Linked DNA regions of Caenorhabditis elegans. The protein of the gene in region 1 purifies or fractionates together with the protein of each later gene. This does not show direct contact. Each region holds a gene or a part of one and is shown on either strand. Other genes may lie near its edges.

Region 1 (4,222 bases):
TCGTGTTTACTCTAGAGATGCTGGTGTCTTTTGCACTGTCTCTCACAGGAAAACAACCTCCATTATTATTTTTTTGCCAATTTCAACAGGATTCCATGCATGCCCTCTTAACAAAACCTATTGTGAATTATTAATAACAAATAAAACCAACAACAACAGAATCATTGAATTCCCGGAAACTGAGAAAATTTAGATGGAGAGAATGGAAGTGAATCGAAAGCGGAGGGTACGCGGGAGAAATGGCGAGCTTTGTGTGCGAGCAAATCTTCAGGATGCTTCGTTGGGGCGCAATAGAGAGCATTAATATACAAGAGGACACAGATAGGTTGATAAGTGATTGGACCGGGAGGATGGCATCGAGGAGCACACTTGTCATGAAACACTTGTTCGGCCGTCCGTCCTCCCGGCTAGTTTGTGACCAATTTATCATTGAAATCTGTGAGAATGCATAGAGATTTTGAGGAAAAACCAATAGAATAGTGAATACAAATCACGATAAAAAAGTTCAAAGACAAACACATTTTATTCAAGACGATCAGATACAGAAAAAATTACATGTTGAAAACAGAGTACAACATTTTAAAGGTGTCAAAGAAAGGTAAATAAATAAAACAATAATTTGTAGTTTAACTCCGGGTTCAAATGCCCATGTTTCTTCCTTCGAGAGATACTTTAACAATCCGATTTGCCTTCGATTTTTTGGTTCTCTCTTGGAAATCGCGGAATGTCTGATCATATCTGTTGTTACCAGTGGATTTCTTCTCCTGAAACGCAAAATTGAAGCAAAATTAAAATTTATCTCGAATTTTTTCATAAATTAAAAAATGTATCCACTGATGATAAAAGGGTACTGGAGAAAATCAAATCTGCATTATAATTACGGTAGAAAACATTTTCGGTATAAAAATAGGTCCGTTTTGAGGTTGTTCCACAATTTGACTTTTAGATAGTTACGTAGTAATTTTAAGAATGTTCAAAAATTTACAATTTTTAAAACAAACTTACCCCCTTGAACGCTCCAGTAACTCTCCACTCTGGTCTGATGACGTAATCTTTGGTAGATGGCTTAGGAACACGTGCTCTTGGAATGTATCCCTTGTCTCCAGGTTTCAGATCATCAGATTTCGTTGGCCCCATTTCATCGGCATCCCTGATTCGTGGTCGTTTCGGTTGATCGTCATCATTGGGTTCTTCTTCATCTCGGCTGCTGAAATTTAATTTTAAAAAATATTTCAATTACTACTATTACTTACTTGATCTTCTTTTTCCTTTTCTCCGGCATTCTAGAATAATCCCTTTCTTCGCGTTCTTGCCTTGAAACGGTACTGTAGTCAGTATCTAGGTGATAAATTGGCCTGGCCCATTCTCCAATGAGCTTATTCGCAATTCCTTTATTTTCTTTCGTTTCATTAGGATGCTTATAAAGCATCATGACAGCCTTTCCAAGACCCGATTGCTTCAGTGTACTTCTGTCGAGTTTCCAAAATCGTGGATTATGAAGCAACTTGAGCACAGTTATACGAATATCAAGTGCCGGTAGGCATTTGTCTGGAAGTGGAGCAAGCCATTCGGAAAGAGCACTCATAAAGCCGTTTTCAATTAGAACTTCAACAATTCCAGCTCGAAGCATGATTGCCTTCACTTCAGGAAGCATTTTGATTTTCTGGAAAGCAGGCTTTCGTTCAATATTTGCATTTCTGTCAGATTTCGCCGCGTGTTTCATTCTTTCAACGAGCCGTGAAACGGTACCGTCATCGTCATTGATTATATCAATTCCTCCGTCTTTTCCTCCACGACGAGTTTTCTTCTTACGTTCTGCCTTTTTCTCGGCGAGCATTTTATCGAAGTCCCATTCAAAATGACGTCCATGCCTGTCTACTGGACCATCATCGTCGTCACTGTCGTAGGCAGGCTTTGAAGTTTCCTGACTTTCTTCTTCGTCACGGCCCTCCACAAATTCATCCAAATCATTCGTCTTTTTTGGTCGATCCTCGTCGTCGTCATCGCTGTCATCACCAAAAAGATTTTTTGTGGTTGGCTCTTTTTTGGAGGTGCCTTCATGATCAGAATCATCAGAATCGAGCATTACTCTTCTGAAATGTTAGAAATTAGTAAAACGTAGCAGGTTGACAATATTTAATTCTTACCTTTTCTTTCCTTCTGCATCACTTGCATCAGAGTCTATCAAAGCTCGCTTGTTCGCACTTTCCTCCGCATCAGAATCTTCGTCACTGTCTATCATAACTTTTGATTTGGTTTTGACCGGCGATGGTGACGGTGATCTTGAGCCAGCAGGACTTGCGGCAGATGGACTTGCTGGAGCAGAACTGTCACGAGCTGGACTAGCCGGAGCCTCGAACGATTCATCCTTGTAGATATCCTGAACATCTCCCGATGGTGATTCTGGGGCGTTTCCTTCCGAGCGAGGAGAAATTGGAGCCAATGGGGATGAAGCTCCTGATGAAGCAGGGGATGTTGGAGAAGCTCCATGCGACTCTTCTTCGTGGTCCGACATTCCGCAAAGTTCGAACACTGGAAAAAGTTATTTTCTTTGAAAGAAATACATATAAGGAATTAAAAATAAGGATTGAAATCGTATTAAGAGTAAACAAAGAAGACATTTCTGAAAATGAACATTAAAGGAGCAAAAATTCCAAAGTGATTGATTTAACATTGTAACTTTGAGTCAGATTTTGAGACATTTTATTGAAAGTACAGTTATCTTCGGAACGTAAAAGTATTTATCTATATTTCTATATAAATTCCCGAAAAAAACTACAACAAGATGAGAAAATTCCTTTAAAGGGGGTTATGTAAAAGTGCTGGAAAAATCTTTCGCACATGTAAAATAAAAACAACATTAAATTTTTATAAAATATCTGCGCGAGTTTTAATATGCAATGTACATTTCCACTGTTTTTAATTTTCACTAATAAAAACATACAATGACACAATAAAGCGGGGAATTGCAAAAAGTCGAAACTTGAATTTGATGAAAATTGCGAAAATTCTCCACCCGGAAACGCCAGCAACTTGAAGGAACTTGCAAAGAACTAATAATTTTCGATATGTTGTTGAAACTAAAGAAAAATTGATTTAAAAAGAGAAAAATCAATATGATAACTGGCAGCAAACAATAGATTAGTTTTTTGTTTGAAAAAAAACAAGTCTCTTCATCAACGATAAACAACACGCGCGGCGGGATTTCGGAGCGTCGTAGTCTGTAGGCAAAAATGCCTCTGCGTCTCCACAGGCCCCCGGGGCCCAAACTGCATCCAAACTCTTGCAATATTGCGGTGGCGACCTATCGCCACCCCTAATCCACATTCATGAATAGAAAAAACCGGCAAATATTGTTTAATGATTCTAGATTTTTTGCAAGAGAGCAAGAGATCATATCGTGTTTTTATATCTAGAGCCAAATGTTCATAATAAGTTTTGATCATTTCTTAGTGAATAAATTTCTAGAAAGTAAAAAACAGGATATAATCTGAAAACTCTTACTACCACAGTACCACTACAGTAACCCAACAGTATCCCTTAACTAACTCCAAAAAGAAAACAACTGAAATTTATTATAATTATTTGAGACTACAATTGTGACCTAGGTATTTTTAAAAATATTCATACACTTGCTCATATCTAGAATACACTTTAAAAATTAATTTTCAATTCGCAGTAAAAATCAGTAGTAAAGGATCCCAGTCATTGTGGTAAAAATGTCTACGGTAGCAAACGATCGAAATGGGATAACGTAGTAAAAAGTACGTCCGTAGCAAAAGAGTAGTAAATGTGGACAAATCGTAGTAAAAGATCTAAATGCGGAATTTGTAGTAAAAGAGAAACAGTACATATTTGAACACAATTTTCTTACAGTAGGGTTTTTAAAAATTAAAAATTCTGATTTTTCTTCAAAAAATGTGATGTTTCGGGAACTCTTTTTACAATAAAAGCTGTTTTCAAATAGAAAATGGTTCCATATTTTGCAGAATGTGACATTAATACTTTTCTGTAATAAACTATATATTTAGCGAAGCACCAAAATTGAGTCGGAATCGGAAATTTTAGTGTTTGCTTCGATTTGAATGATTGGTTCAATATCTGCTTTTTCAATAGCTAATATTGCAAAAAAGATAACGTATTTTATTATGACATGGAAACAAACAAACTATTTAATTATTGAAAAAGCGATTCAAAACAAAGTTGGTTCGTCAAGGTCTAA
Region 2 (6,763 bases), 1.6 Mb from region 1:
TAGAAGCGGCACTGGACATTTGATGGTTCTTAACAGGTATTCGTGGATTCGTAGAAGAGAAAATCAATGAGTTCATCATTTCAGAGCTCTTGAATTCGTCATCGATTTGCTGGATGGAGTGTTCACGTCGAATGATGAAAATGTATCGACAATCGCTCGTTCTTCTTATGACAAACATCTTTCTCAACTTCATTCTTGGCCAATCAGAACTGCTGTCGCTGCGGCTCTCTACACTTTGCCTCGAAAACCAGAATTTCTATGTAGACTTCGTGGTGATATGCCAGAGGACGATGATAATCAATTCCATGATATTTTCAATCGAGACGGACGAGATATTGTGCGAAGAGTGAACAAACTAGTTGAAAATTTCGAACTAACTGATTATAATCCTTCAGCCTGAATCTCTTTACTACCCTCTTCATTCTTGATCTCACAAAAAATATGTTCTCTGAAATTAAACTTTTCATTATATCTCTTGGTTGTACAACAAGTGTATTTGTTTTTGAAAAAGAAAAGCAGCAATCATTTTAAGAAATGTTTAATTCAAATAAAACAGTGTATAATAAATAAATAAATGAACGATTTTCAAAGGGTGACACCAAAAAATAGACACAACGAAGTGAAACTCGTCGAGTGTCGAATAACATTTGAACAGAAAAAAGCGAAGAAAAATTGGAGAATAAATAGTAAAGTGAACAACTTTTCAAGTTTCGCTATGCATTTTGCAGCACAATCCAATGTTGATGACTCGCATGTCTGACATGTCTTCCTGTGATCGGATAACTGCTTCGAATCCATCCATGGAAACAAGTTGTCCACTGTGACCTGCATCTTGTCCGAAAATCACTCGAGCCTTAAAGTTAACATTTCATTTAGCATTTTCAATTTAATATTTTCTTACATCATCTCCTGGTTGCGGTTTCATTGGAGTTAGCTGATCGAAATCAACTTCCAAGTTGCACTTGTGATCTGGCATGTAGACATCCACTTTTCCATCGGTAACATCTTTAATGATCGCCTCACGTCCGTTGAATCGCCCTTCGTGGTCCTTGATTTGCACACACAGATTCTGCACAATCCACACACCTTGAGCCAGGAAGTGGTCCGCTAAAAATAAGAAATTAGCTTCACTATAATTCAAATAAAATCTTGAGCAACTTACGAATTTGCTCAATAGCTCCATCGGCATTGTTGTAGTTGTTACTGTCGTAGCCAGCGAATGGAGAAGGCGCAACATATTGATCGTATGCTCCTCCACTTCCTGGCGTCATTGGAGCAGCGAATCCAGGTGTATCAACGTGATAGGCTCCCGGAGTTGCTGGATTGAGCATTGCACCTGGAGTTGGCACAACGTACGAGTGTGGAGGAGAATCATAAGTTGGAGACGAAGTGTCTCCGATGTCTTCCTCAACTTTTGTAGCTGCATCTGGTTCGTATGTCGGGCTGCTGTTCTCATATGTGTCGTATCCTGGAGTACGGGACACGAATGCTGGAGTTCTTGCTGGAGCATTGTCATACGCTTCAGGTGCATCGGGCTCGTATGCCGGACTCAACGCTAAACAATTAAAAATTAAAAATTGCAAAGATATGTAATGGTTCAACTCACGAATATCATAATCATTATTGTATGCTGGAGTTCTGGCGGAATGTTCGGATTCTGGATAGGCTGGAGTCTTACTGCTTGAATCATAGTTCGGAGTTCTCGATGGCATACTTTCATAGCCAGGCGTTCTTCCAGAATCATCATATGCAGGAGTTCTACTGTTGTCCATTGATCCGTATGCTGGAGTCCGTCCACCTTCCGTACTTCCATAGGCAGGAGTTCGTGCACCATCAGCACTACCGTAAGCAGGAGTTCTTGAACTGTCATTTCCATAGGCTGGAGTACGTGATGATGAATGTTCATCAAGATCTCCATATGCTGGAGTTTTGCTTCCATATGCAGGGGTACGTCCACCTTCTCCATACGCCGGTGTTCTTCCTCCATCATAAGCTGGAGTCATCGAGCCATACATCGGTGTTTGTGCTCCATACATCGGAGTCTTCGATCCATACATTGGAGTTTTGCCAGAGTCGCGCATCGGTGTCTTCGAAGAACTGTAGAACGAGCTTCCACCTCCACTTCCAGCTGTTATTCCAGTGTCTCCGACAACCATCACACGAGCACGATCGACAGAAATCGTTCTGCATTGTGTATGCAATTCGACACGAACTGTGTCTTCTGTGGCATCTCGAACAATTCCAAAGTGGCCCTTCATCGGACCTTTGATGATTCGAACATTTTTTCCAATGAGGGTAAGATCACGACGAACTTTTTGTTGATTTGCAGTTCCAAAATGACCACCACGTCCTCCTCCTCCACCTTGTCTCGGAGTTTGTCCACCACTGCTTCCACGACTTGACATACCATCTTGTGGAGAACGAGGAGTCATTCCTCCAGAAGAATGTCTTGGTGATGCCATAGGATTCGGTGAAGCCATTCGAGAAACCATCGGTGTACTGGTTGTTTTCTTAGCTCCTTGTAAAATCAGTTGTTTTGGTTTGCAAACCAAGACTCCTCCATTTTTAGTCACTTTGCGAGAATAAACGAAGACAGTTCCACGGAACGCATAGAGAACTTCTCCAACTGGATCCTCATCGGTTTCCCGCTCCTTTGCGTTTGGTCCTCCAATTACTTTTACCAGATCTTTAGCCTCGATGGAATTGTTTTGACTGTCGAGAACTTTCGCAAATCGAACGTCTTTTTTCGCTATAATAGCTTGTGGCTTTATACGATTCACAACTCCGTGCATGTTGAGAACTTCCAAATGTTCCTTCTCCAATCGAACAATTACTCCAACATTTCCTGTATGGTCGAGCTGTACAAGATCATGATATTGGAACTGTCCCAGTGAGTCCACTCCAGTTGTCACATCAGCACAAAGTTGCAAATCTCGTACACGAACTTTCAATTCTTCCATTCCAAGATCAGACAAAACTATGGCTGTGCTATCTTTTACTCGGACAATTAATCCAGTATGTCCTTCGTATCGTCCACTAATAACCTTTGCATGATCTCCTTCCTTGAAGTATTTCCTGAGCTCATGAGCGTTCAAAGTGATTGCTTCTTTCAAATCTTCTTGATCTGGCATCATCACAACCTTCGTCCCATCGACCGTCATCACTTTACCCCGAAGATTCACCAACTCTCCAGCTTTCACTTCGACGATATCTCCAGGAACAAATGGATTTTCTGTGTCTTTGAGAGAAGCCGTTTCCACTGAAAAAAAGTATTTTTAAAAAAGAATAAAGGAATAAAAACTTACATTCTCTCTTGAGATCATCGCTAGATTCTTGGAACTTTTCGAGTTCTCCAAGAGTTGGTTTAACACCATCAGCTTGAATTGCGTTTATGGGGAAGTACTTGTAGAGGAATCCTCGCCGGAAATGATTTCCTTCAAATACTAAGAAGTCTCCGTCCGTCACAATTTCTCCTCCAACTTCTTTGATGGTATCCTGATCAAATAACTTGGGCATTGGGCGTCTTTTCAGCTTATAGTTTTTATCAGCATCAGTTCTCATTGCTCCGCGCCGCTTCTGATAATCGACACGGGGAATCAATTTCAGGTTGACACGGTTCTGAGCGATATCCACAAGATCAACGACAGCCAGATCATCTTTGTACATTGTTCTTTTCAAACGAACATATGATCCGAGTTTCAACTGTGGAATGTCTTTGACAACTCTCAATACATCTACCATATCTTTGATGGGAACCATGGTTATAGTGAATTGATTGAGAGCTGAAAATCCTTCAATTGCAGACATGACGTGAGATTGTTTGAACGCCTCGATATAGATCATTCCTTTGAGTCCTTCCTTGACGACAACTGATTTGATTTGGAATGGCTATAAATTGATTAAATGCAATCATTATTACGGGACATTTATCAATTACCTCGTTTGTGTGCTCAACCGCAAGACATTTACGCATCAGATGCATCGCTACGAGTTTTTCCTCTCCCATGCGACATTTGACAATCCACAGGTTAGGATCCTTCGTGGATGGAAGATGAGAATTTTTTGAAATATCATCCATAGCTGAATCTTCGTCATCATATTGACTGTCGTTTTTGTCACCCTTGTACTTGTTCTCAAAGTATTTCTGGACTTCGTCTTCCGTCATGTTTTGGAACTTGTACCGATCTCTATTCCGTTGACTCAATTCCATTTCTTTCATCGCACGCTCAGCTTCCTCTCGCTCGTTCATTGCATTCATGCTTGGATCGTCTTCGTCATCGTAATCATTGTCGTCGTCTTCGTCTTCGTCGTCGACTTCAACATCCCAAGCAAGAAAATCTCGTCCAGAAGGAGCCTTATTCTTCCGTTTCTGCTTTTTAGATTTCTTGCTGGTCACGTTTTCATCTTCATCGTCATCGTCGTCATCATCATCGTCCGAGCCACTTTTCTGAAAAACCGACAGGATTGTAACTTTAAAATTAATTGTTTTCACTCACCTCACTCTCTGAAGCAAGTTTCCGCTTTCTGTCCTTCTTTGAATTTTTGATTTCAACATCTGAGCCATCATCATCGCTCAAAGTCTGTAAGAGGATAAAAATCGATAAATAAGTAAAGTCGCATAATTTGTGAATTTTCCATGAAAGCTTATTTGTTATTTTCGGCGAAATCGATCGAATCTCAAATCATAGAGTGAAAAATCGATAACTAACCGTGTCTTCTTCTTTGTTTGAGGCTGCATCACTTTCGTCAGAGGACATTGCTAACTGAAACATTTAAGTAAATTTCAAATAACTTGGGGCAGAGAAATGAGGAGGAACGCGTGTGATTTAGGACAACGCTTAAAAATTCAGAAAATTAGGCAAGAAGTAAATCAATCAATTGAAAAAATGATTAACTTTATAGGTATAAATGATTAGAAGAAATTAAGCGCAAAAAAGAAGAAGAAAATGAAGAAGAAATAAATTGTCGTCGGTTCCGATGCCCGGTACGCAATCTGGTGTTCACGTCCAAAACCCACAACTTGCCGCGCATTAAATATATATTTATTTAACATTTTAATGTTTTTATGCGTGCGGATTTTGAAAAGGTAGGAAATTCTCTGTGGATACGCTTGAAAAATCTCAAAGCTTTAAGAAGTATTGCTTTGCTCTTCAATTTCGCATAAATATTTAATTTCATTTCAGAAAATATCATGAACTTTCTTCGTTTCAAAAGCTTTTAATTTTCACGATTACGATTTTTCTTCTATGGGTACTTGGAGTTGTGGATAAGTTTAGAGAGGTACTTTATACGCCAGAAAAAATTATTTAAACATAATGATTATATTTTTCAGACGAGTTTTGGTGACTTCAGTTGGCCACTGGAAACGCGTAATTTACAATTGCGAAGCAAGTTTACAAAATATCCACAGTGCAAATTTTCTGGCAATGGACAAAAGATTATTATTATTATAATCAAGTCAAGTGCGAAAAATGGACCGGTTAGTATTTGCAGAAAATCAAATTTCTATTTAAAAAAAACAATATTCAGATGCGAGAGTCAGTAAGAAAGACGTGGGGAGTGTTTCGAATGATTGATGGAGTCGAAGTTATGCCAATCTTCATTGTGGGAAGAGTGGAAAATATGGAGATAATGAGAAGAATTGATGTAGAATCGGAGAAGTATAAGGATATTCTTGCAATATCAGACATAGATTCATATCGGAACAATACCTTAAAAGTTTGTTTTCTTGAACACTTTTCTCAATAAAAACCTAATTTCAGTTGTTTGGCGCCATTGACTACGCTGCGAATCCAAATCAATGCTCTTCTCCAGACTTTACCTTTCTGGTAGATGACGATTATTTGGTACATATCCCAAATCTTGTAAAATTCGCAAAAACTAAACAAAAAGAGGAACTTGTTTACGAAGGCTTCGTATTTGACACGTCACCATTCAGGCTTAAGATCCACAAACACAGCGTAAGTGCTTCAAGTAAAAAAAAAACCTATTTCCAAATTATTACAAGTTACAGATTTCGCTGAATGAGTATCCATTTTCACGATATCCTCCATACGTCTCCGCTGGCGCTGTCTTCCTCACTTCCGAAACCATTGCGCGATTCAGAAATTCAATTAGAAAACTGAAAATGTTTCCATTCGATGATGTCTTTACGGGTATTCTCGCCAAAACAGTGAATGTCGCAGCAACTCATAATGAGAACTTCATCTTCTGGTGTCGACGAGTGTCTCAAAAAGAATGGGATGATGGTGTAATTGCAGTTCATGGATATGCCAGGAAAGATCTTGAATACGAGTATAGCCAGTTAAACGGGTTCGAATAAATTGTATTTTGAATTTTTTTCATATAATTTTCAACATATCAATAGAGATCGTAAGAAATAAAAATTAAATATTCAAAGTTTAGCTCGAGCAATATAATAGTTAACATCACTTCCCAGAAGCATTCTTCCTTTTCCATCGTCAATCGCAATTGAGACGGCTTCAACTCGTCCTGTTTGATCATGATACGACTCGATGATTTGACCAGTTTCCGTGTTGACTTTGATAACAAGACCTTCTACATCAGCGACATAATTAGCAACATATCCAAGAGCTTGTGGAGATAGAATTTTAGTGATAAATTCTCGAACTGATGGATTTTGTTCAAGGAATCGGTCTTCTTCGGAACGATGTGATGCGATTGGAATGAGAAGGTGCCCGGATTTTGTAAGACGAATGTTATCCGGATATCCAGGAAGATTTTCAATAAGCGGTGAAGTTTT

The links. The genes of interacting proteins can lie anywhere in the genome.
Region 2: the proteins of F13B12.1 (region 1) and spt-5 fractionate together in Caenorhabditis elegans (co-fractionation; one large-scale study listed by BioGRID). This does not show direct contact.

What each region holds. Positions count from the first base shown.
Region 1 is NC_003282.8:10,422,104-10,426,325, forward strand, and holds F13B12.1 (IWS1-like protein), read right to left. Parts: upstream 2,533-4,222; 5' UTR 2,516-2,532; coding exon 2,148-2,515; intron 2,094-2,147; coding exon 1,254-2,093; intron 1,208-1,253; coding exon 1,006-1,207; intron 765-1,005; coding exon 639-764; 3' UTR 507-638; downstream 1-506. Other genes in the region: F13B12.2 (Major facilitator superfamily (MFS) profile domain-containing protein), read right to left, coding at 4,193-4,222.
Region 2 is NC_003282.8:12,049,491-12,056,253, reverse strand, and holds spt-5 (Transcription elongation factor SPT5), read right to left. Parts: upstream 4,764-6,763; 5' UTR 4,758-4,763; coding exon 4,710-4,757; intron 4,581-4,709; coding exon 4,497-4,580; intron 4,448-4,496; coding exon 3,938-4,447; intron 3,889-3,937; coding exon 3,306-3,888; intron 3,260-3,305; coding exon 1,607-3,259; intron 1,556-1,606; coding exon 1,163-1,555; intron 1,108-1,162; coding exon 902-1,107; intron 854-901; coding exon 704-853; 3' UTR 508-703; downstream 1-507. Other genes in the region: K08E4.2 (Glycolipid transfer protein domain-containing protein), read left to right, coding at 1-36, 85-400; Beta-1,3-galactosyltransferase bre-5, read left to right, coding at 5,058-5,086, 5,184-5,280, 5,333-5,479, 5,530-5,718, 5,763-5,960, 6,014-6,322; T12G3.4 (Strictosidine synthase conserved region domain-containing protein), read right to left, coding at 6,395-6,763.